Oryctolagus cuniculus: one gene and its partners. The protein of the gene in region 4 interacts with the protein of the main gene of each other region in a pairwise test. Links are inferred from orthologs where the notes say so. Each region holds a gene or a part of one and is shown on either strand. Other genes may lie near its edges.

Region 1 (5,082 bases), on a different chromosome or scaffold from region 4:
GCAAAAATTTTTAGCTAAAAAATATAAAAAGGGAAGGGAAAAACAACTATTTCTAGATTATCTCCTGAGCCTTTTTTAGGATTTTCTAAAAATTTTTAGTAAGTTAATATTGTACTTATATGTCTGTTTATAGCCTAACATTAGCCTTGAAGAACACATAAATATTGGATACATTAATACACACACATTGTGGGAGCGCTCCATCTCACTATTTTTTTTTTAAGTAAAAGGTTCTTTTTTATGACATGGGGGAAAGTTTTCCTAAGAAAAAAGAAAACAGCTTAATTACACTGAAAAATGTTAAATATGTTGGAAAAACTAGACAGCGATAGTTTTTAAAATATTTTTATTCTTATACATCTATTTGATAAGTTCAAATGTAGAACATTTAAAATCTGGGTGAACAAGAACTATTTTGACAAGGACTGGAAGGGGAGTGGGGGGATGGGTGGGTCACTGTCACCGGGTCCTAGCCATCTCCCCAGGTGGTTTCTCTGCGCGACCTCTGATCAGCACAGCTCCGGAACTGCAGTCCTTTTCCAGCGCCCCAGCTGGAGTCTCAGAACACTCTGTTCCACAGATCCGGCTCTTTAAAGATGAGCACTAAGAGATTTGCACTGTGAGGCTGAGCAGTATTACCTAAACAATGCACGTTTCTTTCCATTAATATAAACATGGAATGATTTACAGTCAACACACACTAGCCTCGACGCTGATAACAATGTGATGGTTCACGGTTCCTGCGAGCCAGGCCCTGGGCTAAACATCTGCACGTGCGACTTCACATTTATCTCCATGGGAAGAGTCACGGGTTCACACTTGTCACAGCCGAGGGTGCCGGCATGTCGACAGCGGGCGCCGCAGCCAGCAAGCCCATCGGCATTGTAGCAGCTCCCCATGCTCTGTGCAGTGTCGGCGGAGTTACAGGAACGGGCAGGCCAGAACCCCCTCCCTCCAAGAAAAACACAACGAAAACAGCAGGCAGCTAGGCCTTTACTACTCGGGACCAGGACAGCAGCTGCGGGCCGGGTCTGCACGGCAGCCCTCTTTCCTGGGGCTCAGAAGTGCCCCTCCAGGCCCAACTGCAGGAGCGCGGCCTCAGCCTCCTCCTCCTCCTCCTTGGCCTCCTCCTCACGGATCTGCACCAGCAGCTGGAAGAGGTTCGGGGCCGGCCCTTCCGCAGCGCCGGTCAGCCAGAGCTGCCTTCGGAGGGTCCCGCTGTGGTTGGCCCCGGCGATGACCTGCTCCAGGCGGGCCTGGTTCACGTTCTCTTTATCAATGGCCCCCTTCTCCACCACCTTCTGCAGCAGCGGCTCCAGACGAATGACGTAAGCCGACAACTTCTCTCCCGGGTTCTGGTACGTGTTCAGAAACCTGACCTGCGCATCCCTAGAGCTCTCCACGCTCCCGAACACCTGCTCCAGCGCCTTCAGGCACTCGCCGGTGGTGATCGCGGGGTTGCTGGTCTTGAGGATGCGGATGACGTCGGCGGCGGGGCCCCGGAGGCTCTCCATCAGCCGCCGCCTCTTTTCTGTGTCGGACACCTGCCACTCCTCTATGACTTCATTAGCGTGCTCCAGCCAGCAGTCAAAGCTCTCCTCCCCAGGCCCCGGGATGTCCCTCCCCGAGAACAGCGTCAGCTTCTTGTACCATATGGACTCCACGAGAGGCTGAATAACATTATCCAAAATATAGCTGAGCATCTCGGCTGGCATTTCGGGGCCCGGGGCCGGGGCCGGGTTCTGAAACCCAAGGACGCGGGCAACATCTTGCACGGTCCACCCCTCCCGAGCTAGGAAGAGGTGCAGCCTTTCTAAAAATTCAGCGTCAGACGTGGGGGGCTTAAAAAGCACTTTCCACACCCCTCCTTTGCCAGGCATCTCCCTGGGGATCGCGGCGTAATCCACAGCGCCAGTGAGCTCTAATAAGGCTGCTTTCGCGTTCTCTTCCCTCCAGAACATTCTCCCAAGCACTCGATACGGCACCTGGGGCATCGCAGCCTGGAGGGTCTCTTCGATTTCAGCCTCATCACAGTTCACTAGGATCCCCCAAACCAGCAGCGCTCTCTGGGAGTTCACGTCCATGCCCCTGCACCAATCTTCCAACAGCGTCATCGCCATGTTCCCAACTATCAAAGGTACCGATTCGACAGATACGGATCAGACTGCGGCTCCCCGAACTCCAACCAACACCAGACACTCCCCGCAAGCAGGCGCGCGGGCGGCAGGTCCCCGCGGTCGCTGGTAACAAGCGACACCCAAGCCCCGCTGTCCGTCTGCGGCTCCCCGGCGCGGCCTCGCAGGGGCTCAGTCAGTCACGCGGCTGTCGCCATCTCGCGTCCCGGGTCGGGGTCTGCGGCCCCAGAGTGCAGCCTGCGGGAGCCGCGGGGCCCGGGAGCGCCGGGGTGTGGCCGCGGGGCGTGGCCGCCGCTCCCGGAGTCGCCCCGGCGCTGGCGGTCCGAGCCCGGCCCTCAGCGGGGCGAGGAGCGGCAGCCCGAAGGAGCGCTCGGCGTGCCGGGCCCGGCGGGAGAGGCTGTCCGAGGTCACCGCGGCGGCAGCCGGGCCAGCCGGCGAGCAGCGGCTTCTTCTCGGGCGCGGGGACCCCTCCGGACAGCGAGGACCGCTGAAAACCGAGGGCTGAGGGGAGCAAAGACGCAGGAAGGATGCAGAAGCGAGGCGGGAGGCGAAGGCTGGTGGGGCCGGCCGGGCTCGCGTGGCGCGACGGGCTGCGGCGGCTGTGGCGCAGCTCGGCAGCCGGCGCGTTCCCGCCGCAGTGCAGGGCGGGGCCGGCCCGCGAGCCGCGGCCGCCGCACCGGATCCAGGTCGCCGGCGAGGCGCGCGCGCGTGACCATGGCAACGGTGTCCCGGACGACGCGCTCCCGAAGACTCCGTGCGCAGCGGCGCGGGGTGGGGGGAGCGGTTGCCATGGTACCGCAGCCATCAGATGTTCCAGACTTTTACAATGAAAAAAAAAATACCAATAAGCATCGAGGGCTTCTGTCTTCTAATCCGGAGCGGATTTCAGATACTAGTGGGTATCACCCGTGGTGGCTGACTTGCTCATGCAACTGGCGCATCAAGCCAGGTGCGTGGACGGCATCTCATCCAGAGGAAACGAAGGCTCCCAAGTATCCCACTTGTGTGACACACAGACTGGACACTTCCTCTTATCTTTTTTTTTTTTCTAATTTTTTTTTTTTTTTGACAGGCAGAGTGGACAGTGAGAGAGAGAGACAGAGAGAAAGGTCTTCCTTTGCCGTTGGTTCACCCTCCAATGGCCGGTGCGCTGCGGCCGGCGCACCGCGCTGATCCGATGGCAGGAGCCAGGAGCCAGGTGCTTTTCCTGGTCTCCCATGGGGTGCAGGGCCCAAGCACCTGGGCCATCCTCCACTGCACTCCCTGGCCACAGCAGAGAGCTGGCCTGGAAGAGGGGCAACCGGGACAGAATCCGGCGCCCCAACCGGGACTAGAACCCGGTGTGCCGGCGCCGCTAGGCGGAGGATTAGCCTAGTGAGCCGCGGCGCCGGCCACTTCCTCTTATCTAACACTTAGTCAAAAGGCCGGCCACCTACCTACCTACAGCTGGCAACGCACCAGTATTCTGTAATCCCTGCCTCGGGTACTCTTCAAGCCAGAGCAAGGGCCGCTTCGGTCAATCTCAGAGGATGAAAATCCCCCAAAAGAACACAGCATCCAACTCTGAATTTTTAAAACCTTATTTAATGAAAGGTTTAAAGATACAGAAGAACATTCAAAAGTAAATAAGTTACATAGGTACATTACAATCACATCAGCAAGATTCTCTTTAGTGTATTAATTTTTATATAAAAAGCACACAAAAAATAAAATCTTCCATCTGCTCTATCACAACTGTACAGCCAAAGAGGTAATATTTATATATTTATATATATGTACACCATTTTCATATGTAACAGTCTTTTTTAAAAAAGGTTGCCACAGGCAGCAAACACACAAAAGGCAGTGTCTGATCATCTGTTTCAAAATAAAAGGAATATACTTCTTTATATGCTATTAAAATATTTGTACAATAATTACAGACTGTCAAGGCTGTCCCCTCCTACAAGGCCTTCAACTTGGAGACAAATGAGTAAAAGGTGAAACAGAAACAGCTGCAAATCGTTAGAGGCAAACAGTAACACAGCAAAATGGGGGGGGGAGGACACTTGTTTTATAAAAATATGCACACTTCCTGTAAACCTAAAGGAGTCAGGCTTGCCAGTCTAGTAATAAATACTGTCCAGAAAAGCGGGCCCCCGTGGAGAGGGTGCTAAACAGCCGAGGCTTCGGGATGTGTTGTGTTCCTTCTTCATCTAGGCATCTGGCACATGAGAGATCAGGTCACTGAGGCAGTTAAGTATGGGCAGTTCCTTTGGCCGTGAGCAGCACGAGACCTCCGTGCCTGGGCGGAGGTGCGGCGGCAGAGGGGCGAGTGTGTGCCTCAGCGGTGAGGGGCGCTGCCGAAGGCATGGAGGACAGAACGATGTCACCGTCTCCTCGGATGGGAGAGACCTCAGAGACGGTCCAGAACACAGGCACTAGGGCAGTGTCACGCCGGTGGCTGACGGCAGGTGGACACTGGGAGATGGATATGGGGAGGCGGCGTGGGGAGATTACAAAGCTAGAGGTGTCTCTCGTCTAACTTCTTACAGCAAAGAGCTCGGAATAGGAGGGAAAGCAACAGAAGACAAGCCTAGGGTGTTCCCAGGGAGAAGAAAGCACCGTTAAGGATCGCCTCTGCCAGCCTCTATGGCTGCACCTACGCTACTGGCAGGTCGCATCTGCCCCCGAAACAGCTTCCTTCCCCACCGCATCTGAGGAACAAATGCATCCTGGAGCATCAGCCCCTCAAATCCGGTGTCTGTCGGGATTCACAGTCAGGTCCCCGGCTACGTTCACCTGGTCTGGTCTCTGTGAGCTTAGGGTGGAATCACTTTCTTATTTAAAAAGATATCCAAGTCCTGAATGCTACCACTGAGCAGAAGGGTCCCAGGTGACTGGAGGAGGCTTCTGTTACCACATGTCCATAAAGGGGCCTGAAACCAAATAGGGTTTAAATAGAAAA
Region 2 (5,308 bases), on a different chromosome or scaffold from region 4:
TCTATGCATTCCACCCCCACCTCCCAACCATCACCCACTCAGATCTTTATAACTAAATTAAGATTTAAACATATGGCCTTAGAAGCAGACCCAGAAGTCGGGCCTGTCTGCCAAGCAGAGAATTATTGGCATCAGTTCCTTTGCTGTGTTTGTGCTGCCCTGGGGTGTCCTTTATTAGTTTTGCCTGGCAGCGTGGTGTCTGGTGTCTTATCAAGAAATATACTTTCCTTGGCTTATTTGGAACACATCCAAGAATTGGCTTTCTGGTGGGAAATGAAGCAGAAGCCATAACCAGGGTATATGTGGGCTTAAAAAGAGTGCCCTCTGATTGAATTTAGTGACAGGCTGTCTCTGAACTTCCCAGACATATTACTATTATTTTCAGTCACTACAGCTTTGTTTAAACGGGAAAGGAGCAGGAAACGGGCCCCCCCCCCCCCCATCTCCTGTTTTCTTGGGTTCTGTGATGGTATTCCTTCAGTCCTTCAGTATAGTAGTCCTATCTGGCTACATTTAGCCAGTGCACTGACCTGGTTCGTGGATCATATAATGGACCCATCCCTGACTCTGCTGAACGCCAAGGTTCCTCCATTCAGATTCAGACATCAAATGGGTTTTAGGGACCAGCTTGGCTATGTCCTTGGGCAACATAACATGCCTGCAACAGAAACATAGGGAGATGGGGCATTTGTGTTAGTACTGGATACAGCCTGTTGGACAAGTGCCTGTATATAAAGCCAAGAAAGGAAAAAGAGAAACTGGCTTCTGGAGTTTATACAATCTTTTTTTTTTTTTTTTTTTTAAAGATTTATTTATTTGAAAGGCAGAGTTACAGAGAGGCAGAGGCAGAGAGAGAGAGAGAGAGTTCTTCTATCCACTGGTTCACTCTCCAGATGGCCGCAATGGCCAGAGCTGTGCCAATCTTGAAGCCAGGAGCTTCTTCCAGGTCTCCCACATGGATGCAGGAGCCCAAGGACTTGGGTCATCTTCCACTGCTTTCCCAAGTCACAGCAGAGAGCTGGATCAGAAGTGGAGCAGCCAGGCCTCAAACCGGCACTCATATGGGATGCTGGCACTGCAGGCAGTGGCTTTACCCGCTACGCCACAGTGTCGGCCTTTGAGTTTATACAATCTTATTGTGGGGTAGAGGCAGCTGAAAATATAGGCCAAGTTATAAAAATTCTCACAAGACTATATATATAGTTTTAAATTTTATTTATTTGAAATGCAAAGTTAGATATTTTCTGTCTGCTGGTTTATTCCCCAAAAGGCCAAAACAGGCAGAGCTGGGCCAGGCTGAAGCCAGAAGCCAGGAAATTCATCTGGGTCTCCCATGTAGGTACGGGGGCCCAGGGACTTGGACCATCCTCTGCTGCTTTCCCAGACACACTAGCAGGGAGCTGGATTGGAAGTGGAGCAGCCAGAACTTGAACTGGTGCCCGTATGGCATTGTAGGTAGCGCCTTAACCCGTTATGCCACAACAAGGCTCCTCGCAAGGGTATATTAAAGAGTGCGAATGAGTACTTCCAGTGACTGAGTGCCAGGCACTGTTGATGTTCATTTTCTGTGCCTTTGTGGATCTTAGGGTTTTCTAGTAATTACCCACAATGTAACAGGCCCTACAAAGAGCATGAAATGTTAACATCGATAAAGTGGGGTGTGGAAGACACATCACAGAGGTGAACTGTTAGTCTTCTTTCAAAAATCTTGAATCTCATTTTCCTAACTCTGAAGGGGCATGCCATGAGACTTGATTCTCTGACCAAGGATGAGTCTCCATGGCAAAGAAATGACTCCTCTGACTGGAACTGGACTCATTCAGATACACTTCATCACACGCAACAAAAATGTCCTAAATGCTCCCTCAGCACTAATTATCAGAGGTTTTTTTCCTAAAGAGATAATTCTAGTCTAAATGTCTGAAAATAGCTGACATTCTAACCAGCCCCTGGCACAAAATCTGGCCTCAGTACATTAAAACAAAACAAAACAAACCCCTCTCTTAAACCAAAACGCCACTGCCAAACTAACAGTTACATCTTCCCAGGGACGAAACTAGTGATGTCTCCCAGCCCTGCAAACACGTCATAAGCATACAGTTGGAGTTCGCTTAGTTCGGATGTAGAGGAAAACAGCTGAGGGAAATAAAAGGAATGGAGTCTGAGAAGGATCTAGGATGATCCCAGCCTGAAGCTGGTTATGTGTCTGTAAACACAGCCCGAACCGGGCTGAGGGAAGGCACGAGAAAACCAAGCTTCCATTTCCCCCTCCATTCCAGGAGGCAAGATAAAAGCCGCAAGCCGTCTTAAATATTGCAATTGATACAGATTAGTGTGACGACAACACTTGTAGAATTCTGTCTTTCCTCCTTTTCCAATCTAATATTCCTATGGGCTCAGAACTTATCAAACCCAAACGCTCCCCCATCTTGGGCATCTGGCCATCCAGTACCTCCGGGACAATTCTGGTCAAGCTGTACTTTTCCCTTCGTTGCTACAGTGTCACCTGAGGGCTCTTCCAGGGAGCCCCCGCCCCTTCCTTGCCAGGCTGTGTGTCCCCACCACGCCCCGCTCACGGCCCGGGCTCCGCAGGCCCACCACCTTCTTCCAGCCGTCTGCCAGATTCTTGCTCAGAATTTTAAAGACCGTGAGATGCTCACATCCAGTAAACAAGTGAAACCTGCACGCACTCCACTGGTTCTCAGTGCTTCTCGGCACTTTAATCCCCGGCCCGGTCCTCGACGCCCCCGTCCTAAAACAAGCCAGACAACCACGCCTCTTTCCTTCCCCAAGAATAAGCAGCATTAACTTCCTCAGCATTCTCACCGCTCGCAGTGAGAACGCGAGGAAAAGGCCAGCTCCGCTGCTGACACCTTCACCCAGTAGACTCCACAGCAGCTCCCAGTGAAGCTGAGACCAAGACCCAGAAACCCACAGGGTGAAGGTGGTCGGACTCATCACGCCTCCCCTCAACCGGGGGCTGACTCCAGACTCCACTGTTCCAGGGCGCCGGCCACCCCCCGCGCACGCGCCTTCCGCGTTCCACCAACCTCACACCCACCCCCGCTGGTCTCCTGCGCATGCGCCCCCTCTGTCGCCTCCATCCTCGCTACCAACTCCTCGTGCCTTCTCTTCTCCCGACCTCGCTACGGCCCCCCGCCGGCACTAACCGGTACTCGAACTCCTCGTCGTCGTACTTGTCCGAATAGTAAATCTGTTTGTGCGACATGATCGCTCTGCCTGCGGGCCGTCAGCCCCGCGCTGCCAACCTCCAAACAACTCCCAGCAGCACGCGCTCCCACCCTCTTTGGCCTCGCTTTCAAACACACCGCCCGCACTTCCCATTGGTCCTTTGGGCTCAAGGCGGGACAGCTCCACCTTCGAGCCTCCTATTGGCTTAGGATTTGCTTCTCCTCCAGTCTTTATTGGAGTGCGCTTCTTACGTTTCTCAAGCACAAACTTGGGTCAGAGCTAGGCCTCTAATTGGTTATCGCGGCGCCTGTGAGCGCCTTCGCGCTACCATTGGCTGATTCAGGAAACTAGGCGGGGCGAAGGAGGGACCGTGAGGTAGAGGGTCAGGGGTTAGTGAGGCCGGAAGTGAGTGTAATAAAGTTTCTCCAGGGAGGCCGGGCCGGGGAGAAAGTTGGAGCGGCGACCTAAGCAGGCAGTGGCGTGATCCGGAACCAAATCGGCCCGCGGCGCGGTGCGGAGACCCCATGAGGCCCTGGTGAGTTTTCACTTTTTTTTTTCTCTTTAGGCAACCCACTCCTCCACCCCGGAACCCCTCTCCCGGGACCCCACTTCCGGTCTTCACTGCTAAGTCCCGCCCCTGAGACCCCCTCTCCGGAAGTCCCACCTCCCAACTTCAGGGGGCTCCCTGAACCCCAGTTTTTAAATTTATTGTCTCCGACCCCTCCCTGTAGCCCAGTTTTCCTGGAAGTCCCACCCCCAGACATGCTTCCAGCTCCACAAGAAACGCTTCGTTAGTCCTCCCAGTTCTTCCAAACTCCGCCTCCTCCTCGCGACGATTCTCCGCTAACTCCTGTCTGTCAAAGATCCTATCTCCCAAAAGGGCAAAGCTCTGCTCTTGAAAGAACGATTCGAATTCACTGAGGCCACGCCCCTCGATAGGCCCCGCCCATAGAAGCCCCGCCCCTTCCGCAATCCACGTCCGATTGTCCCGGAGCCTCATCTCCTGGAAGTCTGCTGCGCATCCTAGAGGGCCACGCCCCCTAAGGAACTCGATCCGGGTGGCACCCAAGTCATCACCCCAGTTTCCTCAGTCTCAGAAGCTCCACCTGCTTACGTTTCCTGTCCTTTCTCTCTTGGGGCCTTGGGCTCAGTTTTCCCGAGGGCTTTCCCGCTCCACTAGGTGGGAGCTCTGAGGAGTGAGATTAGAGGCAGCCTTATCCTCCCCCAAGGGTGGGCCTGGGCTTGGGGTTTGGCCCGAGGACGGGACAGAGGCTTGCTCATAGTTTCCCAGCCCACCGCAGAAACAGCTGTAGGTTGAGGCTGTGGCTAGACAGGGCCGTGGATTTGCTGATGTGTGGCTTGAGGACGTGACAGGAGAGAGAACTTTGTACTACCAGAAAACGGTGGTTTGCAATGGGGTTAGGGATTTGTATCCTGTTTTTTTTTCTTTTTTCTTTTAAGGGACTCCTCAGCCTCTACTTGTTTGGCTCCATCCCCCGCACCCCCAGCCAAAATTCTTGTCTGGGCATTCCTCCTGGCTCCACTTGTCCTGCCTTCCCTGCTGGAAACATTCCTCAGGCTTTCGCCATTTCCTGCCCCTTCCCGCTCCTCCCGCCTCCTCCCTGCTGGGCTCCCCCCTCCAACACCCAATCACCTGAACTTCCAGTAGGCTCTCACTTCTCCCTATGCAAATTTAGAGACAGACTCCCTCTTTTCTTTGAAATGCTCACACCTGTTGGTCATCCTCTGCCTGCCCATACTGCAGGCTTCCAGAGAGTGCTGACCCTAAGGATGAGGGTGTGTGTGTGTGTGTGTGTGTGTGTGGCTGTGGAAGAAACCTTTCCTTCTCTCGGCCTGGGGTCTTAGGAAATAGAGTGACAGATTCTCCTGCCATGAGGACGAAGAGGAGGTGAGAGCGTATCTAGCACATTTTAAGTGCTAGAATTGGTCATCGTTATAGATTTCTTTTAATCTTCTGACTTAGAGCTAAGGGTAATTCCGAGGTGAGCCTAGGGGAAGAGGTATCTACTTCTTGTGTTTTGGTCATTTTCCAACTTCCTCCAAGGCTTCCTCAAGCAGAGCTGTGGCAGGAAGCCACGGAGGTTTGGAGGTTTGG
Region 3 (5,202 bases), on a different chromosome or scaffold from region 4:
AGGCTAATCAACATTCTGAACTCAACTGTCCTGTATACTGAAGGGTTATTCACAGAATATTAGCTATCTAATATGGAGAAGAGAATCAAGACAGCTTGAACAAAAAGGTTTAAAGTCAAAGGGGCAAAATGATCAGCACTTCTACTGGATGTACGAACAGAAATTACACAAACTTAGCATTATGCCTTATTAAAGAAAAGTCAGTTTCATTTATTTGTAATTTTAGATGATTATTATTTGTATTTATGGTTCATTCTTTCCTTTTACCTCTAATGGGTTATGAACATTTTCATTTTCCCACTAAATTAAGAGTTAGCTGTGGGTTTACTCTGTGAATGTTCCATGTAAATTTCATAACCAAGTCTGTCATAAAGAGTATCCAGAACTCCCTTAAATAGAAAGTTTATTTGTGGTAAACATGCAGTCTATCAAACGTCGACAACATTTTCTCCTTCCTCTTAATCCTCTTTTCTGATGTTGAACGTGCCAGTCTCCATACTTCTCCACCCGTCACTTCCCACTCACAAAGACCTCACTCCTTGTACTCTTATTCCGAGGCATCGCCAAGTTCATCAGGTCCTGGCATAAAATACAGATGGAAACAGAAACACAGATTTCATAGAAATCTCAAAACCAGACAACACGTAATAAAAAAAGACCAGTCTTCCTCTTAATCCTTACTGTGTATGTCATCAGAGATCAACAAAATGCACCCTAACATGTACTTCTAAAAAAAAAATTGATTTTTGAGCTACAGCTACTTGTGAACAGATTTAATATTCTGTTCTGAAATATAATACAAATTTGCACAAAATATTGCATTGTGTATTATAAAAGTTCAAGCTGTATTTAAAAATATTAACCAAATATGCTGTAGTTACCAACAGCCTTTAAAGGGCTCTTTCTCAAAGCTGTTCCCTTCTTGTCCACTGTCATATGTTTCACGTCTGAGATGGTGTCTGCATTGTAACCAAGAATATCATGGCACCATTCCTCTTATCTGATGAGAATGGTGTCCCTGGAACGTCCTCACCACTTCTGTGCTCTTCTCTGCCTGAATCTGTTACCTGGCCTCTATTATCCCAACAATGTCAGGTATGCATGGAGGATAAGAGCAAAAAAAAAAAAGAAAAGAAAAAAGGAGCAGTAATTTTCTCCCAGCAAGTGGTAAAACTAAAAGAAAAAAAAAACTGAAGTTAAAGATAGATAAGACTCAGAAATAGAACTTAATTTCCATCCATATCTGAATGAAATATGTGCTTCTTTATTAGTTAAGCACAGGATATTTCAGAAATGCTTGAATTAACATGTCTAAAGTAAGCATTGAAATTCAACTGAAGATGTCTTGTTGTGGTTTCTAAACAAAATAGAAAGGCGTTTTTAAAGTACAAATTAATGACAGTAAAATCCCTTCTACAGAGACTCAGAACACAAAACCTATTTCTGGGGCAAACATTTGACCTAGTAGTTAAGATGCCTGTTTGGAGTGCCTGGGTTTTACACCTGTCCCTGGCTCCTGACTATACCTTCCTGCTAATGTGTCCCTTGGCAAGCAACAGGTGATGCCTCAAGTAGTTGGGTCCCTGCACCTAAATGATAGAGCTGGATTGAGTTCATGGCTCCTGGCCTTGGCTGTGCCCAATCTCACCTGCTGTAGGCATTTGGGGAGTTAATCAATGAATGAGGGTTCTATCTTTGTCTATCCATCTCTCTCCCTGCCTCCAATAATAAATAAAATTTTAAAAGTAAATATTTAAAAAGTTCATCTTCACTGTTTTATTCTCTTACTGTTTCCCTAATTCTAAGCTTAATGTATTTTACTCCAAAATATAAAGCTATGTCTTAAAGCTGAAAACTCCCCCAAATTTTTTCTAAATAAAATTTGCTTTATTATGAATGACATAATAATAGCTGGGCTATGGAAATAAAATTTATCTTAGCAAGTAAGTGTGCCAGCTAAAACCTCTTATCTTTAGCCTTTATATTATTTTTAAATTAATCCACATTTATTAAGTGCCTCAAACAATAGTATTCCTGATACACAGGAAGGCAGAAAGAACATTAAGTTTCATTAAACTGTATTGTAATCATTCCATAACGTTCTTATACTTAGGAAAGATGTTAGAATTCATTGTAATAAATCTGACAAGACTAAATGAACACATATTTAAGAGAGTTTTATGATTCCTAAATACAAAATCACTCTCAAAAATCAAAGAGCTAGATAGTTTAACACAATTCTAGATGGTTTTGAAAATATTATCAAAGTTTTCTCGTGATTTTTAAGAATCTGGCAATAAACACTTTTATTTAAGAAAGAGCCCTCCTTCTTCACCTTCATTAGAATCACTGACAATTTTATGTCCTTACCTCAAAATCAGAAGCTCCTGTGTTTGAATTATTAATCATTTGATCACAGAATCTCTAGAATCACCAAATATACTAAATTTCAACATGAAATTATGAAGAAACCATAATAAAGATGGATAAGACCTTTAAATGCTGGAGAGAAATTTCTGCTAAGTTGTACATAAAATGACCAAATGTCTCAGTTAGAGAGAAAAAAAAAACAAGTCCATACATAATAATTTGTTGTGTGTTATTTAACTCCTGTATTATTACATACTTGTCATGTATCACAAACAGAAAAAAATGTTTAACCTTCAGCCATTTACAGGTTAAAAATGTCAAAGTCCTTTTGTTCTGATTATTTATAAATTGCTGGAAATAATCTAGCATGAAGCCCTATGATTCTAGAACTTGTTATTTATAGTTAAAGACAGTATACTTTTTGAGGAAATAAAAAGCTTTTTCCATTTAAGCATGGGTTTTTGCCTTTCTGACAGCTCTAAGTCCACAGGATGTGGAGGGATGATTTAAATTTTACATCAAAATTGTGACTGCACTGGACTTCTCCCCTTTCTCAAGGGAGGCATTGTTCTTCCTTTCCATAACCAGGCGTGACAGCGCCAGACTGGAGTCATACGGCTGGTCTCTGAGTCAGCGTGAAAGTGGTCACCTCCTGAGTCTCCCCAGATGCTCGGCCCTTGTGTGTCTGGAAGCTGAGCACAGAGTAGCCACATACCCCATTCCTGGGACAGAAAGCACTGGAGGGGAGCAGAAGCTGGTGATTAGCAAAAATTATCTCTTGTAGTATGCCCTGCATAAGCCTTGTATTAATAATGTAAAGTAACCAAACAAAAACTCATGCCTTTTATTTAGTATAAGTACCATTTTATCTGACCCAGAAGTTCAGAGAAGTGATTGAACAAATTGACTAACAAGTAATTGTGCACTTCTGGCTTACAGAAATAAAGTCTTCAAAATCAGAAGTCTTCTGGATTTTTTTTTTTCTGAGACATATGGTTGCCACATGTATAAATTTCAGGTTATAGATAGCTGGATACACAGTGAAAGAACACTGTATGAAATGCTCATCTAGTCTCAACACTGTATTTCTTTTTAAAACTGTCTATAGAAACCCTATAACAAGGAAGTATCTTTTCCATTTTCTATCACAACAATTGCTACTGAGAGAGGGATTAATTCCATTTCTATTGTTCTATCCCTGAATGAACCTGTCAGGGAAGTTGGAGAGGTTTCTGTGTCATGTGTGTCTATGCAGCCATGTGTGTGTGCATAAGGGCAGGGTAAAAAAAAAAAAAAGAAAAGAAAAGAAAAAGCCAGGGCAGGGGGTGAGGGGGTGAGAAGGAAGAAAGGAAGATGAAGAAGAGGAGAGAAAAGGCTTGACTATCTAATGATACGTTGATAGCCATAATTATTTTCTTTTTTTAAAGAACCTAGCAAGGACCTAAGCACAGGTTAATTTAATCATAATCAGATGCTTTCGTTTACCATAAAGTGCAAAGGTATTTGCTTGAAAGTTTTGTGTATTTTAAAAGAAAGGATGAAGAAGCAGAAGCAAACTCCTTCAGGTTCGTTCTCCCACGTAAAGGAAAGGCAAGTGTGGTGTGTGATGCCTAACTATCACACTGCACTGAGAAACACTCACCTCTCAGTAATGCCAGCCACTGTCTCCTCATGTGCGCCACATGAAGAGGTGTTCATACGCACATGTGTGTGTTTCCATACAGTATGTGTGGCCATGTTTCTAACAACTTATCAAAATAGTTCACCATGTCCATCACATTCATAGGGAAAGACGGATTTTCAAGTATGAACGTCACTGGTCTGGTCGGGAGAGGCACATATGCAAATAAGTTTGTTTTGATTAGGAAAGAGTGCCTTCTGCATCTCAGTGATACCGAGTCCTCTGTAAAATTATCATTTCACACGTTTGGAAGGAAGTTTGGTCATAATGGACCTACCAGAACTTCACATTACTGCGATGGCAAAACTATGGAGAGGAAATAAAATTTCACTTTCTGAAATAATACACTGAAGTAGTTATTCTGACCTCCTTCCCCACGTCCTTATCTGGGCTTCCTCTTAAAGCCGCCCTCCCCCACTACGCTACTGCACTCCAGCCTCCCTCTCTCTCATTATGGGATAAGTCCAAAGACATAGCAGATTGTTCCATAATCAACAGTGATTTCTTCCTAGCATGGTGTGGGGCTTGAAATAAAATCTGTGGCATGTTTAATTTATTTAGTATCTAATAATGAAGACAAAAGTAATTAGGTAACCAATCGAGTTTTAATTTCTTTTGTTTTCAAAGGTCACTGTGAAATCAAGCAAGTTAAGCCATCGAGAGCAAACCTCTGGAGAACAATTTTCTCTGAGTAGAAATGAGAAGGGAGGCTGCTCACAGCTTAAAGGAGAACTAAGTGTCAGCACCAGCACTGTTGAGGACTAAGTTGCCCAATGAAGAGAAATATGATGATCCCTTACACTGTTTGGAATCCAAATAGCCCAGCCAACGAATGGTTTACACATTGCTAACTTCAGACCCAGCCAGGGCTCTCACTTTCTTGCTGTGTGTCCTATAGACATGGCTGCAGCCTGTTTCTACAGAAGCTGCTGAAAAATCTACAAAGCAGACACTATGTATGCCCTATTCAAAATAGAGAGAAAAGAACATATACATAAGGCACAAATCACTCCCAGAACAACAGCTTCTTATGTGAGAGATAGGCACACTTGGAACTTTCTCAGAACTGAAGTATTTGCCATCATAATCATGAGAACTCCAAAAATAAAGAGTAAAGCACTGGAGATAATGAGCATCTATCAACCCCAGCT
Region 4 (5,151 bases):
ACCTCACGCCATGGACCCCCTGCGATTCTCTCCTTTCGCCACTAGGAAGAGGCCCAAGGGGGCTGGGCGTCTGGGCCAGAAGAGGAGGTCTCCCCGCCCCCCAGGCAGTGAGTGGGCGTGGCTACGGGCTCTGGGCCGAGGATGGCCCCAGGTCCTCCTCGTGTTATGAATCTTAATCTCTGTTCAGCTTCACGGCTTGTGCCTGAATCCAGCTCAACCCCTGGACCCTAAAACCACAGCAGTGGGGAGGTCCGTTTGGGACCCCCGGATGTGCCTGAAAGTCATCTGGGTCTCAGGCCGCTCTCAGCTTTGCTGTGCACGCCACCTGATCCAACAGCTCCCAGACTCAACCCCGCCCCCACCCCCGCCACCCGCCCCGCACTCTGGCTGGCCTCGGGGCGGGCACCTTGCCCCGTAGCCTTCCTGAATCTTCCCAGCCACCCAGGGGCTGTTATTCCCTCTTTAACAGATGTCGCACCCGAGCCCACGTTCAGGAACCTGCCTAAGGTCACACAGCCCACCAGTGTTAGGGCTGCAATTCAGCACGAGAGCCCTCTGCTCCAAGACACCCTAAGATCTAGGGTTGTTTTGGCTTCTTTTTTGGGGGGATCGCCGAGACCCCAAGTTCCTAGCTCAGAGGGCAGAAACTTGCCCTCTGTCCCCAAGTGGATCTGCATCACGTCACCATTACTCTGCCAACAAGAGCTGGTCTGTGTCGACTGCTAAGTGAGCCAAGTGGTGGGACGCGAGGCGGCAGGCTGCAGCCAGGGCGAGACCTCCACCCCCACCCGCCTCGGGCCCAGCTGCCCTGGCCCAGGAGGTCCCCACCATTGCATAGGAGGTGTCCTCTTCACAGACTCGAGGAAGGAAGAACTGCTGATACCTACTGAGATTTCTCTAACAAACCGCTTGCTGAAAGAGCCGGGGGCCGGCCCCTGGCCAGGGCTCAGCCTGCCTGGGAGGAAGGTGAAGGCAGCAGGGCGGGGCGGAGGGTTCCCAGAGGAGGAGCTTAGCTGGGGTAAGAAGGTGGGTACAGGGCATGGGGCAGTCGGTGGCCTAGGAGCCTGCCCTCTGTCCACCCTGCCAGACAACAGCTGGGATCCAGTGAGAGTGGGGCAGGAGGGGGATTCAGTGAGGCCCTAGCACCACACAGCTGCAACTTGAACCAGTCACTACTTTTGTATCTCGGTCTCCCCATCTGTGCGCTGGGTGCGCTACGCTCAATGGGCCAAGGTTCTAAGCAGAAGAAAGCGAGAAAAGAGGCTTCGCCACAAACCACAGCCCAGCCTGCACGCACACACCCCTGGGCGAGACTGACGCCTGCTGTCCTGCCCGCTGCCCACCTCGGCAGGTGCTCCTGAAACCTCGGCCTGTGCCCAAGGTACCCCTGATGCCCAGGCAAGAAGTGTGACACACCCCTTGCCCTCCCCCTCTCTCTGGCCCGCCCCACTTACCCCCTCGGCGTGCTGGGAAGGAAGTGCCACTTCCTTTCATGAAAAGTCACGGACTGGGAACACTGCGTCAGTTATGACAATAATGGTAACAGCGGCCTCAATAACAACCAGCAGACACGGCCCCACCCCCACCCCCCGCCCGAGGTTGCTGGCTTTGGTTTCTTAGAGCTGGAGCCGAAACAAAGACAGCCTTGGAAGCGGCCCATCCACCCCGTGGCTGGGAGCCGGCTGCCTGGCGGTTGCCACTCGAACCTTGCTCCAGGGCAGAGTTTGGAGCCAGTGCTGCGGATGGACGAGCTGCACGTGGGACTCCTGACGATGGAGGGCACAGCATCCGCCACAGCCCAGCCCCCTCAACACCTCCGCTCACAGCGGGAAAGGGACAGGGTTTGGGGGCAGCTGGGGCCAAGAGCCTTGAGAGGGTACAGACAGATGGGGGTGTTGCCTGGGGCGGAAGCACCAAGTAGGGGGCTCCCTGGCCCTCTCTAATTAGCTCTGGAGTGTCCTTAAGGAACTGAGTCCAGGACAGAGTGGCCCCACTGCCCTCCCTGCCCACAGTAGCAGCTCCCACCCTGACTTGTTTCCTAGGTGTCCGTCCCATCCATGGAGAAAGGTGTTAAGTGACCTGTCCGAAATGGCACCGCGTGGGCAAACGGGAGCTAAGGAGGAGAGGGGAGGGCTCTTGGAGGCCTCCCACTGCCAGACCCACGCTGGTCTCCCGGCCTCAGTTCCTTCTCCGCCCTAGCGCTACCTGCAGTCACAAGGAACCCCCCCCCCCCACACACACACCCATTCGTGGATTGGCTCCCAGCAGGGCAGCTCGCTTGGAAGCAACAAGCACCTGTTACACTCCCCCAGGGTCCCGCAGACCCCTCCTTGCCGGCACCAGCAACGGTGGGCCAGGAGCTCTCAGGGGTCTGCGCCCGCGGGGAGGAGGGCGGCGAGCCCTAGACCATGCGGAGGCGCCCGGGTTGCGCCCGACTCCGGCTGAGCGCAAAGCGGAGCCCGTCTCCTTCCCTGCGCGCCGGCCCTCTCCGCCCCTCTGGCTCCCCGCCGCCACCCCCTTCCCTTCTGGAGACCCAAGGGAAGAGAAGAGGAGACAGAGGCGCTGGGGAGGGAGCCCGGAGTCCACACGGGCGGTGGCAGCACGCCCCTCCGCCACTGATCTTCCCAGCGCGCTCGAGCGAGTTCTTGAAAACCCGCGCGGCCACTTTCAGGAACCGGCGGCCGCCCAGGGCGCGCCTTTCTCGGCGGCGCGGGCGGTTCTGAGAACCGCCGGCCGGCGCGGGGGCGGGGGCCGCGACGGCGCTGCTGACAGCTGTCACAACAAATGAGCGGACCCGCTCGAGATTGAAACCGCAGCAGGAAGTGGGGCGGCAGAACCCTCCGGGGTTGGTACATCTCGGCCCTGGGACGGCGGCAGGAGTTTCGAGATCAACGCCCGGGAAGCCCCCCGGCCGCCAAAACTTTTAGTCTTTCCCTTGCCCGAAGAGCGCGCGTAGGCACCCCCGGCCTCCCACATGCCGCGACGGGCTTGGGGACGCCGGCGCCCGGACGGCGCTCGCTATCCCGCGCCCTCGGCCCCGCAGCCGCCCCGGGCCCCGCTGCGCCCCTCCAGAGCCACACCAGCGGCCACGAGAGCCGGCGTCCTCCCCCGCGGGGCCGCCGAGCCCCGGGCCGACCGGGTCGCAGGGCCGCTTACCCATGGCAGGGCGAGGTCCCGCGGCGCCCGCTCGGGACCCTCTCCGCGCGCGCGGCTCTCCGCACCCCGAGCTCCTGCTAGACTGCCCGCGGAGCCGCTCGCCCGCCGCCTCCCCGCAGCCACGCCCCGCTAGGGCACCGCCTCCGCCCCACTCTGAGCTCCCATTGGCGGGTCCAGTTTTTTAGCCACGGGCAGGGGCCACCCCCTGTACCCGAAGATCTCTGGGAGTTGTAGTGCGCACCTCCCTCTTCCCGGGGTAACGACCAGGACACCAGGAATGGACTAGACGCCTCACCCAGGGAAGCTGAGGCAGGAAACCAAGAATCATTGCTACCTTGTGCCTTGGTTTTCCTCTAAGCAAAACTAGAGTCTTGGAAAACCCTTGCTCTCAGCAGAGCCTTGAGAACTTGGTGGGGTGAGCAAAGTGTGCCTGCCTTTGACTTGAAAGTGGCTTTGGGCACTCCCACAGCACAGCATAGGAGGAGAGGAGGTTGGCTCCATGGCCAGTGTCCACACAGGTCACATGGACAGGGTGGCAGCTCCAGGCTGAGCCGGTCCAAATAGGTGAGGATGAGGGTTAGGGTGCGTGGAGGCAAAGAGGCACGGAGCCAGCAGTAACTCGGACCTGTGCAGGCCACAGAGGAGAAAGTGAGGTTCAGGGCTTAAGGGCGGGGTATAAACTTGTAGCCAGCTGGGACCTGAACTCTGTTCCTTGCACGCAGACTTTTTGGATTATATTTTTAAAAGATTGATTGATTTATTTAAAAGGCAGAGCTGGAGAGAGCGAGAGAGGTCTTCCATCCACTGGTTCACTCCCCCAAATGGCCACACTGTGGTTCACTCCCCACAATGGCCAGAGCTGGCCTGATCTGAAGCCAGGAGCTTCTTACAGGTCTCCCATGCAGGTGCAAGGAGCCCAAGGACTTGGGCCACCTTCTACTGCTTTCCCAGGCCATAGCAGAGAGCTGGATTGGAAGTGGAGCAGCCGGGACTTGAACCAGTGCCTATATGGGATGCTGGCATTGTACACAGTGGCTTTACCTGCTACACCACAGCGCCAGCCCCTTGGATTATTTTTAATACTCATGACAGCTCTATGCCCTTCACACCATCATTGTTCTCTTTTCAGGATAAAACTGAGGGCTGAGAGATTAATGCAAATAAGATAGATGATAGGACATGGAGCCAGAGCCAGACACGGGCATCTGGGCCTGGAAGAGGATCCCTTATACCCAGACAGCCTGCACTTGTGGTTGTACCCTGGCCTGCCCAGCCCCGATACAGATTACGGTTGCTCCCTTTGACACTAAACAAATCGACCAAGGCAGCAATAGGTGTAGCTGATCCTCTGGCCTTACCCTTTAGCCCCAGGATGGCAGATAGCTGCAGGCTCAGCCCAGAGCAGACAGCACTGTGGACTGCACAGGCTAAACCCCTCGTCAACCTCATAGTGGTCGATTTGTAAGAGTGAGCTCTCCTAGATTTTGTAACACATACATCATAGTCAACATTTAGAACCACTTTTTTAAAAAATGTATTTTATTTGTGTGCAAGGCAGAGTGACAGGGAGAAAGGAAGAGACAAGAGGAAGAGATCTTCCAACCCCTGGTTCACTCCCAGCCAGAGCTGTGCCAGGCTGAAGTCAGGAGCCTGGAGCTCCATCTGGGTCTCTCACGTGGACATCAGGGGCCCAAGCACTTGTGTCAGCTGCTGCTGCTTTCTCACACACATTGGCGGGGAGCTGGATTGGAAACAGAGCATCTGGGCCTGGAACAGTGCTCCCATATGGGATGTTGGCATCACAGGCAGCAGCTTAACCCACTGCGCCACAATGCCAGCCCCCAAGGACAATGGTTGTAATGGTGATTAAAGCAGTGTGCCCTTGGGGCCAGTGCTGTGGCATAGCAGATAAAGCCGCCACCTGCAGTGCCGGCATCCCACATGGGTGCTGGTTCGAGTCTTGGCTGCTCTGCTTCCCATCCAACTCTCTGCTAT
Region 5 (4,531 bases), on a different chromosome or scaffold from region 4:
CGCCACCGACAAACTCAGGTTACCCCAAGCCAAAGTGGGCGCGGCGCAGAGAAACCCAGAACCGACGCGCGCACACGAGGATCCTGGAAGTCCAGATGACAGGGCAGTCTGGATTCCACGTTCACAGATTTGAGGTAAGTGGCGTCCCTCGCCACACCCATCCCACCCCCTGCCCCAAGGTGGCCCAGGCAAACTCAAAGATTCTTAAACACATTCTAAGGAACAGTCATTTTTATATATTTAGAAATCCCTATACAGAGAGGTTCTTGTTTGTTGGTTTCTTATGAATAGTATTATTAGTTTTTTTTTTTTTCTTTTCGCCCTGACTAATTTCTTGGTGATTGTGTTCAGTTGTAAACACAGAAGGCCTGCTGTTAGTAGTTTAAAAATGGAAAACGGGAAAGAAAGCGAGCATGCGAGCCGGCTCTGAGGCACGCCTACCAAGTGGACATGGTGCACGGCATGCGGCTGATCCTTGGCAGTGGAGGGGCACTACAGAATTTCAACCCCTGTCATCCACAGGTTTGCTACACAGAGCGCTGGCCACAGCCAGGGGCACGCCAGCGTCGGGGGACGAGAGGGGGCTTCTCTGCCCTCTGTGCATTCTTCCTCTTTCAAGAGAAAGCTGCTACAGGGACAGAGACCATGGTTGGCAGGTGGTCCCCTCCACGGTCACGGGCCAGCACACTCAGCACGCATGCACACAACAGGTCACACTTGTTGCCCCACGCTCAGAGGACACAGGCCTCGAGACCATGGAAAATGGGTCGCCTCCAGCCTACGTTGCTCCAGAGTGCGCCCCAGAAATCCACCTGCCTCCTTCCTGTCCATGCTCCATCATCACTATTCCGTGTGGTTCTCCCTGGGGTCTCCTCAGCTGGCCCCATCCTGCAGTGGGGTGACAGACACTGGGGGCTCCTGCAGGCTCCTGCCCCAACACTCAGCACTCGCAGTGGGAAAGGCGGGAGGAGGCTGCCCTTCCCTGGCCAGAACCGGGGGGGAGGGGGAGGGCGGGGGGGGGGGAAGAGATTGGAAAGATCACGTGAACAAGGAATAAGCCTAAAAGGAATGAGCTTTCACTATAGCACACTGGTCAGATTCTATTGGCACGGAAAGTATTGCACATTCTAAAAAAAAAAAAAAAAAAAAAAAAAGCAAGAGTGTGTGAAATGGGACAGATGTTTAGAAAGAACCAATTGTTTTACAATTCCTATACCTGAAACAGAACCATGAAAAGCATGAGGATGTTCCTATTGCTCCAAACCATGTGTGTTTTCCCGTTTTAGTGTTGGGGTGGTGGATCCGGTCAGTTCAGTACGGAAAGTAAGCAAGAGGGGTATCGTGTCTCTCTGAGTCCACGTGAGTTGTAGATAGTGGTACCACTGAGAGCAAAGTCTGTGTGGCAGCCCCAGAGTCCTCTTACCATCAAAGGTTAAAAAAAACAAAAGGGAAAAACAAAACCTATTCATTGCAAGTGCCCTGAGCAGAATATATGGAAGATTAAGCAAGTTCTCTAAACGGAAATGTTTAAAAAAATACAACACTACAGAAGCAGTGTGACCGCGAGGGTGGGAGGGCCCACCAGGTCCCACCCCACCAGCTCAGCTAGAAAATTCAAGGAAAGAGTCTAGCTATTCTTAACCTACTCAGATGTTTTTGGTACACCCCAGAAAATGGTTTATAAGAATCATTAGTCCCTGTGAGAACCAAATGTAAAGGAATCCTAGGGAGCCAACATGTGGGTTGATGGTAGCATATTTTCTTTTGTAAATTCATAAAATGGCAGAAGTCCTATTTTCAATGGCCACAGAAACATCGAGTAAGTACTTTCTCAGGTTAGCTGCAGCCATCCAAACAACAGTCAAAAATTTCTCCCTGCTTATAAAACCTTTTTTTTAAGCATTTTAAAATGCACTCAAAACCCACAAATGATATCAGATATCTGGGAATGAAAGATGTAACCTATGAAATACCCTTTCTGGGTTTGTACCAAACACGAAATCTTGATTGGATTCCAAATAGAAAAAAAAAAGTCATCTGAAAACATTAATAACAACAATAGTAAAGTAAGTCTTTAAAAAAAAAAAAAAACTTGCTCACAAATACAAATGTTGATGGAAAACTCTCTCAGTGAGTCTGAAGACAGTTCTCCAGGTTGTCCTGCTGAGACCTGGCTTTTTGTGACAGAGGCGGCAGAAAGACCAAAGTGAATTCTGAAAGGAACATAACCTTATAAAACAGCCTAGAGCTTAGGCAGTTTAGAAAGAAATTCTGCTACATTTATTTATGCTCGTTCAGTCCCCCAAACCTTTCCCACAATGTTATTAGGTAAAAACTGCAGGAATATCACACCAATTATAAACTCAAGATGTGCAAATCGCAAGGTTCTTTAAAAGTTCATCTTAAAAGGAAAAACACTGGACAAAAATGAGGCTTCTCTCCATCCCTTCTCTCTGTTTCTCTGCCAACTCTGCATATATGCCTTTCACTCCTTCTCCAACATCAAAGTGACAAGTGCCTCCTGTCAGGTAGTACTTGGTGGTCATTTTCTGTCATACACTAGCTCGTCATTCACGTTCGTCCCTTTCAACCACACGGAGACTTTCCAAATCTTGCCGGGAGCAACTCTGCAGAGCTGAAATGCAGTTAACAGTGTTGACAAACAAAAAAGAAAGCAACTTAGTTTTTGTGTGTTGGTTGATTTTCTTTCCCGAAAGTTGAAAGTGAGATACAGTACTCGTTGAATGACACAGATCAAGATGCTTGATGATAAAGGGTGACAGGCATTGTAAGTGCTTAGAAAACAGGAATCTATGCTCATTTTCAGAATCGAATTCCTCGTGTCACACTGGAATCTGAAAGCAGTGGCACCCGTGCTGTCCATTGCCATGGACTCTTAAGTAGGACTGCAAAGACACAAAGACTTTGCCAACTCAGCGCGAGAGCTCCTGGTGCTCTCACTGCTGGGTGGTCTGCATCTACCTTTCTGGAGCCACAAGGCTAGGATCGGACTGGTTCTCCTAGCACTGCACAGAACCAGCGAGGGTGTTCCCTCACCCCAGCCCCAGCCCCCCATCATGGTGCAAGCTGTGTTGGGGGTGGGAAGGGTGATACGGGCAGGGCCTCCCTGCCCACAGCGACACCCTTGGCGACATCACTGCACTAGTAAAGCAGAAATGAAATCCCACGTGTGGCAGTTGCTCTTTAAAAAAAAGAAATATGTATCAGTGCAGTCAAGGCCCCATAGGGGGAAATATATCTCTATATGATTAAAAGTTGCTTTTATTGTAAAATGTGTTGGAGAGAAAAACGTTCTTTGAAACGGAGAGCTTTCCTTTCCATCTGCCGCCTGCCCTGAAGCTGGGGTCCTGATGTTGACTTTGAATGTGGGAACCCCAGGAGGATGCTGCTCTGTACCGCCCCCTACCCCCAGCCCCCGCTGAAGGCAAGAGGGCAGCACAGAGGGAGGCAGGGGCCGAGAGACCCTCTCACCCGCCCGCTGTGGCCCCCACGCACCCTCACAGGCACACGCCCCTCTACCCCTGCAGGTCCCTTCCCATTGGCCTCTCTCGGGACCCCGGCGGGCCCGGGCACCTGCCGGCTGCTGCCCTGCCTGCCAGTGGCCCACCCGCCACTCCCCGACAGACACTCGCGGACAAAGCGTATGCACCAGTCTCCTGCGACACACCTGCTGTAACTGTAATGACAAGGTTAGAACAGAAATCTAAAGTAAGAGGATAACATGTAAATACTGTGTTATTTAGCCTACAGTACAGTAATCTGGATACGAAGGAAGGGCACGGGACGGCCGCGGCGCCTCGTCCGCTCTGCCTCTACTTGCCCACGTTAGACCGGCCCTCGATGCAAATCTTGACCTCCTGAGGAATCAGAGAAGGCTTGGGAAGAGTCAAAGGCGGCTCGTCCTCCGACTTCTCCAGTTTGCGGGTCTCCGGCGCCGACCACCTCCTCTTCCTCGCGGCCGCGGGCCTGCTGGGTTCTACTTTCGTGAAGAAGGGTGCTGCGGGCAAGCCCATCTTCTCTGGAAACTTCAGTTCACCGTTCTCAGACAGCATCTGAGCGCTTCCCTGATTGAGCCCGTTCTCCTGCTCGGCGTACCTGTGTCTGCTGCCCGCCAGGCTGTCGGTCTTTGAGCGCTTCAGCAGGACACTGGCAGCATCTGCGGGCTGGCCCTTTTTAACAGAGCCATTCTTGGCGTTCTTGAGGGTGAGCGAGATGCAGACGTCACCTACTGAGAGTCTGGAACACGGCAGATCAAAGAGCTGGCTGGTTCTCTCCGGGCAGCAGGACGACCAGCCCTGTCCAAACACAAAAAAAGGATACTCGACCAAGACTTCCACGCTGACCTGTGGGAACAGGGAGAGACAGAGAGGCAGACAGGAGGGAAACCAGTGAGAGCTCTGTATGATTTCCTTCCTTCCCTTCCTTCCCTTCCTTCCCTTCCTTCCCTTCCTTCCCTTCCTTCCCTTCCTTCCCTTCCTTCCCTTCCTTCCCTTCCTTCCCTTCCTTCCCT
Region 6 (5,192 bases), about 31 Mb from region 4:
CCAAAATCTGCCAAACATCTTTTCAATCGATAATCCCAACAGGGCTGAATTTTTTTAGTTTTACTTTAAGGACCAGTTTAGTCTAAGCAATTTAAGGGAAACTTATTTAACACCAGTGCTTCAACACAATGCCTTTTAGAAATGATTTGCAATCAGCAGGAAAAGTACCCACTGACAGATAAAAGTAAAAATAAAACTACATATTTATCTGATATCCAAAAAAGAATATTTCCACTTTGAAAAGTCAGTGACAAATTATTTCTTAGGACAAGATGGTCTTGAACATATTATAACTTGTGAATGATAGCTGATTAGGTAAGACAAACAATTATGAGTCTGTTACTTCTAGATTTATCAATTCCAATAAAATCTGTAGAATTAGAGACAAACTCCAAAATGACTTGAGAAATGATCTAATAAATGTACAAAAATAAGCTTTTGAAATCCCAGGTCCCGGTTAGATTGTGATGACTGATTCCATACAGGGACAACTGCACAGGAACACACATGTGTAACACGTTGGAAGGCCAGGTATCCTGGCTTGCTCTTACATGGCCGGCTAGCCGGAACTGAAGATTATTTTTCCTCAAAGTTTTACATGATATCCAAAGTGTATTCTGCTCAAGTTCTCAAAAACTCCCACCACCAAAAACTGCAGAAATTTCTCCTAAATGCTGGACTGCTCATTCTATCCAACTGGAGCTAAACGGGGATTTAGGCATCTTTTTCAGGGTCGGCATCAGAAACTCTTAACCGGGGTTAAAATACACTGGATGATAAAAGGAACTCATTTCCATAGAAAATGACACAACTTGGACTGCACAAGGTGGCAAACAGCCGAAGCACCCTGACAACCACAACATCGACCGTTTTCTCACGGTGATTGGAACTCACTGTCCACTGCCGTTCACAAGTCACCAGAAACAGCCCTCCTGTCCTGGTGTGTGCGTGTCCGTGTTACACGTGTATGCCCTGTCTCCTGCGGCCCATTGCCAAAGCTTTCTGAAAACAAACCGCTGCTCCTCTGGGTGGGCAGGCAAAGCGGCCAGTGCAGTGGGATTTTGTGCAATGCTAAGCTCACTGAATGGCACCCACCAAATGCCATATTTATTTAACTTGTGGCTTTCAGGGTTAGGAAAAAAAAGGGGAGGGGGAGAAAGAGAGAGGAGGTTAGTGTTTCAAAACCAGAATGTCAACCATAAACCCTCTCTGGTCAGGGTGTATCCGCAGTGTATACTCTCGCTTCTTATACAACCTGGGTTCTGAAACCTTCCTACCTCCTGTCTTATTTTTTAAGTAACAAGCGTTTTGCTAAAAAGACCTACACCTGGAGGAGCCCACGCCTTTCCCACCCGGAAAGGAACGCTGCTGGGGAAACTAGAAGCAATGCCTGCGACTTGGATGGCCTCTGATCACAGGGACCCACAACCTCGCGATAACCGAGCCCATCCAGGCAAATCCTGGCGGCAGTTCACCTGGCATGGGTCAAGAGAAAAATCTGACTTCTGTCGTCCATTCGATTTTAAGTTAATTGGATATGGTTTTCGAGACACCTGAGCCCATTTTGCTACTACCAAAAGAAAAAGAAAAAAATCTGCAGTCTGATGAACTTTCTCTTAACTACAAGTTTCCTCAACTGGTTAACAGAGAAAGATTGTTTCACAAGATACACTCTCACACTTAGGAGCGGCCAGATTGCCACTCTAAGTGGAACAGAAAGGTTTCTGAAGCAATGATTCTCTTGACGGGTTAAGTGAATTAGCTGCACATGCCAATTCCTGAAAATGCAAATTTGCCATCATTTTTCAGTTTTTAAAGGACAGGGAAAATAAACTAAACAGTAGAGAAGCCAGAAAGTGGAATTTGGAATTCCAGCCTTGGTGTCTTTTTAAAAGCACTGTCACGAGTAGTCCTACATTTGCAGGCACCAAACAAGAAGGGGCAAACAGCTTTTCAAAATAAAGCTTTGTCATAAAACAGGCGATTTCCTCCAGGAGCCAATTCTCAGCTTACTAACTCACCCAGGTGACAACGCTGCTCCACGGCGCTACCTTTTGCATTGTTTTGCATGGTCTTCGCCTGTCTCTCCTATTTAATTAAATAGCTCCAATTTTACACGTGGACGACTTAAAAGGGCTGAGGGATTCCTGCACGAGGTCCACTTCCAACTCTCGGGCCCGGCGCTGCGGCACCGCCTCGCCGCCCGCGCGCACCGCACGCTCTCTGGCTCCCGCACACACGCGCGCGAGCTCTTGGCGGAAGGCTGAGAGCCCCAACTTCGAGGGAACTCAGCAAGTGAGCGGAGGCACTGTTTCTGGGGCTGCGGGAACAGTCATTTGAGAAACCCCACAATCATCCCCTAACTACGGAGTTCTGGAACGTGCGTCCCGCACACCCCTTCCCCACACTTCCTCGGCTTCGCGTTTGCCAAAGGCAAGTGCCCCCCAACTGCAAGCTGTCTCCCCTCCAGGATCCCGGACGCACAACCCAAATCAAAGTCCTACCGCAGCGTCCTGGCCAGCATTCCGGGAGCGACGCTTTCGGCCCCTCTCATTCTGCTCCCCACATCCACACCCCGCCCCCGAAGTCTACCACAGCCCGGGGTTCGGGGGTTCCCGCCTCGCGGGCGGCGAGTTATCGATGAATCCACACACGCCCCGGCTCCGGAGAGACTTGGCCAAGAACTTTTCACACCGGCGCCAGCGCCAGCCCCTAACAGAGCTTCTCCCCAACTCCTTCCCAAAGCCGCCCGCACGCACGCACACAGACACACGCACTCCCTCCCGCCGGCTTCCAGCCCCTGGCGCTCAGAGAAGCCCTGACCCTCGGGTCCCAGTAACCTGAGGTCACCCAGGAGTCAGCTCTCGATTCCGCTTTTAAAATCCCGGGCACACAAAGCCGAGCATTCTACTTGGAGGGTGTCTCCGCAAAGTTCTGCAAGTCACGCAGCGCAGGGTGCGCGGACACCCCCAGAACCCGCGCCCTGGAGACGCACCCAGCCGGGGCCACGGCGCGCCGGCCCCCGGACGCGCCCCGCCGCCCGCCCGGGCCACCGCTACCTCTTCCTCCTGGAGGTTGGCCTCGCTCGGGGTGTTCTCCTTCTCGGCTTTGCCGCCGTTGTTCATCTTCCCGGTCCTTCGTCGCCGGGCAGGGCTGGGGCGCGGGGCTGGGCGAGGGCGCGCTCGCCCGCTTCTGCCTTCCCCGGGGCGCCGGGGCTGCCTCGGGCGGGCGCCGCGGGGCTGCGAAGGCTCGGGCTGGGCTCCCGCGGCGCGCAGACGACGGCGGCGGGCGACTCGGGGAGGAAGTGCGGGCAGGGCGCGGGCGCGGGCCGGCCGAGCGGGGCGCGGAGACAATCGCGACCGGGAGGGAGACCTGGGGCGGGAGGGCGGGCGCGAGGGAAGGAAGGAAGGGAGGGAGGGAGGAAGAGAGGATGGGGCGAGGGCGCGCGTCCCAGGAGTGAGCGCGGAGAGCTGGGGCTGGGGGCTGCCGCTGCCGGAGCAGAGCGAGGCTGGAAGGAAGGGATGGGGCGGCCGGAGAGGAGGAGGAGGAGGAGGAGGCGCCGGCCGCGGCTGGGACGCTGGGACGCGGAGAGCCGCTGGCTGCGCGCTCCTGGCCGGCTTTGGGAAGTCCGAGTCCGCTGCAGCTCCTTTCTCTCGCCTCCCTCCCTCCCCTCTCCGCTCTCCCCTCCCTCTCCGCCTCCCTCCGCCCTCCCTGGACGTGGGCTGCCGCCGTCAGCCCGCAGGGACGGGACGGGGGCCGCCGAAGCCCCCCGGCGGGAGGAGGGGCCGCGGAGTCGGCGCGGCCCGGGCCGGATGGCGCGCGCCGGGGAGGGGCGGCGGCGCGGAGCGGAAGCGGCCGACCCCGGCCCCGGCTCGACGGCAGAGCGAGGGCCGGGCGGGCTGAGCAAGGGAGGCTGGAGAGCCGGGTCCCCGGGCGCACGCGGCGTCCCCCGCGCCCCGGCTCGGAGAGGGGGCTTCGGGGAGCCGGGCCCTGGCCGTGCGCGGACCGGGGGCTGGGATGTGCCACTTTTGTTTGCCTGCTTTCCACGAGGGAGCTGCGCGCCCCCGGGCTCCTCGCCGGTAGGGGCTGAGACGCGGGTCGCGCCCTCGGGGCGAGGGCTTGGAGGCCCGGGACGGAGGAACGCCGGGGACAGCCGGGCCCCCGTGAGCCCCCCGCGAGCCCCCCGCCGGCCCGCTCTGGAGTTGATTGTTCACCTGGCCTCTCTTTGGGGAGCGCCTTCCTGGCAAAGGAGACCGAGCCCTGTTTATCCGGCTAATCCCGCGGCTGTTTAAATGAGCCCCCCGGCACACAGTGGGCACTTTTCTAAACGAGTCTTGGCAGGCAGCCCTGGAGGGTCAAGGCATTCGGGCAAAGCGAGGCGCCCGCCTAGTGTTCCCGCCGCGCCTCTGGGGGACTGCCTACTTTATTTTCTCGTCCGTGAAATGGGTGCAGTTACCCCGGAGTGTGGGGGGCACGCCTCACACCCTCCTGCCCGCTGTAGGCTTACAACATGGATGCTAACATCATTATGAAGAAAATTTCCATTTCTTCTGGGCCTGGAGCCTTTTGTCTTATGGGTCCAGTTATGCGTCTAAACTTGACTGCTACAAATGTATAACCTTACAACTCGCAACTAGTTCGTTCAGCGCCGCCTCCCGCTCCCAGGAATTCCTTCCTGCACAGCACCTATCACAGTTTCTATTTATTGACTGGCCTGCCCTTTATCTTGCCTCCCCTCCCCCCTCCAGAGCTTATACAGCTTTGAGTGCTGGTGGGGGTGGGGGTGACAGCAGAAGATAAGACCCTGCCTGTAGGGAGCTGAAAATGGAGTTGTGGAGACCAGATACCAGGAACAACTCCAAAGCAACAACATCCTGGCAGAGCACAAACATCTTTTGCTTTAAGGGGATCAGGAAGGGCCATTCAATAATCTTCTTGGATTTACAAGAGAGTTTCACAAAGTTCATGGAAAATGCTTACTATGAAAAAAAACTATGCATGAATTTCCAACCCCCCCCCCAATTTTTTGCAGCCTGGTAAATGTATATTTTCATTCCATCTTTCCATGAGCTTTTTTGAAATACCATGGTATGTACCGGGTTTGTTCTTTGAGGTCTGCAGATTTTGAAAGAAAAGTTTTCTATCCGGGAAAAAAAAAAGTTTTTCTCTAACTGCTGCCACGGTGTCACCGA

What was found.
Region 1: the proteins of ARID5A (region 4) and PNMA1 interact in binary tests that used the Homo sapiens proteins (3 or more experiments, as listed by UniProt). The two-hybrid records come from large-scale screens. The link is inferred for Oryctolagus cuniculus from reciprocal best matches to the Homo sapiens genes ARID5A and PNMA1.
Region 2: the proteins of ARID5A (region 4) and CKS1B interact in binary tests that used the Homo sapiens proteins (3 or more experiments, as listed by UniProt). The two-hybrid records come from large-scale screens. The link is inferred for Oryctolagus cuniculus from reciprocal best matches to the Homo sapiens genes ARID5A and CKS1B.
Region 3: the proteins of ARID5A (region 4) and SOX5 interact in a two-hybrid assay, tested with the Homo sapiens proteins (2 studies listed by BioGRID and IntAct). The two-hybrid records come from large-scale screens. The link is inferred for Oryctolagus cuniculus from reciprocal best matches to the Homo sapiens genes ARID5A and SOX5.
Region 5: the proteins of ARID5A (region 4) and ATXN1 interact in binary tests that used the Homo sapiens proteins (3 or more experiments, as listed by UniProt). The link is inferred for Oryctolagus cuniculus from reciprocal best matches to the Homo sapiens genes ARID5A and ATXN1.
Region 6: the proteins of ARID5A (region 4) and RBPMS interact in binary tests that used the Homo sapiens proteins (3 or more experiments, as listed by UniProt). The two-hybrid records come from large-scale screens. The link is inferred for Oryctolagus cuniculus from reciprocal best matches to the Homo sapiens genes ARID5A and RBPMS.

What each region holds. Positions count from the first base shown.
Region 1 is NC_091451.1:19,888,414-19,893,495, forward strand, and holds PNMA1 (paraneoplastic antigen Ma1), read right to left. Parts: upstream 3,172-5,082; 5' UTR 2,121-3,171; coding exon 1,059-2,120; 3' UTR 330-1,058; downstream 1-329.
Region 2 is NC_091438.1:43,534,182-43,539,489, forward strand, and holds the start of CKS1B (cyclin-dependent kinases regulatory subunit 1), read right to left. Parts: upstream 3,495-5,308; 5' UTR 3,230-3,494; coding exon 3,171-3,229; intron 659-3,170; coding exon 531-658; intron 1-530.
Region 3 is NC_091440.1:121,152,296-121,157,497, forward strand, and holds the start of SOX5 (transcription factor SOX-5), read right to left. Parts: upstream 3,271-5,202; 5' UTR 3,091-3,270; coding exon 3,020-3,090; intron 2,514-3,019; exon of another isoform or gene 2,371-2,513; intron 1-2,370.
Region 4 is NC_091433.1:111,160,356-111,165,506, forward strand, and holds the start of ARID5A (AT-rich interactive domain-containing protein 5A), read right to left. Parts: upstream 3,297-5,151; 5' UTR 3,161-3,296; coding exon 3,157-3,160; intron 1-3,156. UniProt on the Homo sapiens protein: DNA-binding protein that may regulate transcription and act as a repressor by binding to AT-rich stretches in the promoter region of target genes.
Region 5 is NC_091436.1:143,602,298-143,606,828, forward strand, and holds part of ATXN1 (ataxin-1), read right to left. Parts: intron 4,365-4,531; coding exon 3,834-4,364; 3' UTR 1-3,833. UniProt on the Homo sapiens protein: Chromatin-binding factor that repress Notch signaling in the absence of Notch intracellular domain by acting as a CBF1 corepressor. Binds to the HEY promoter and might assist, along with NCOR2, RBPJ-mediated repression. Binds RNA in vitro.
Region 6 is NC_091433.1:80,425,389-80,430,580, reverse strand, and holds the start of RBPMS (RNA-binding protein with multiple splicing), read right to left. Parts: upstream 3,408-5,192; 5' UTR 3,126-3,407; coding exon 3,060-3,125; intron 1-3,059. Other genes in the region: collagen alpha-2(I) chain-like, read left to right, coding at 3,522-4,292.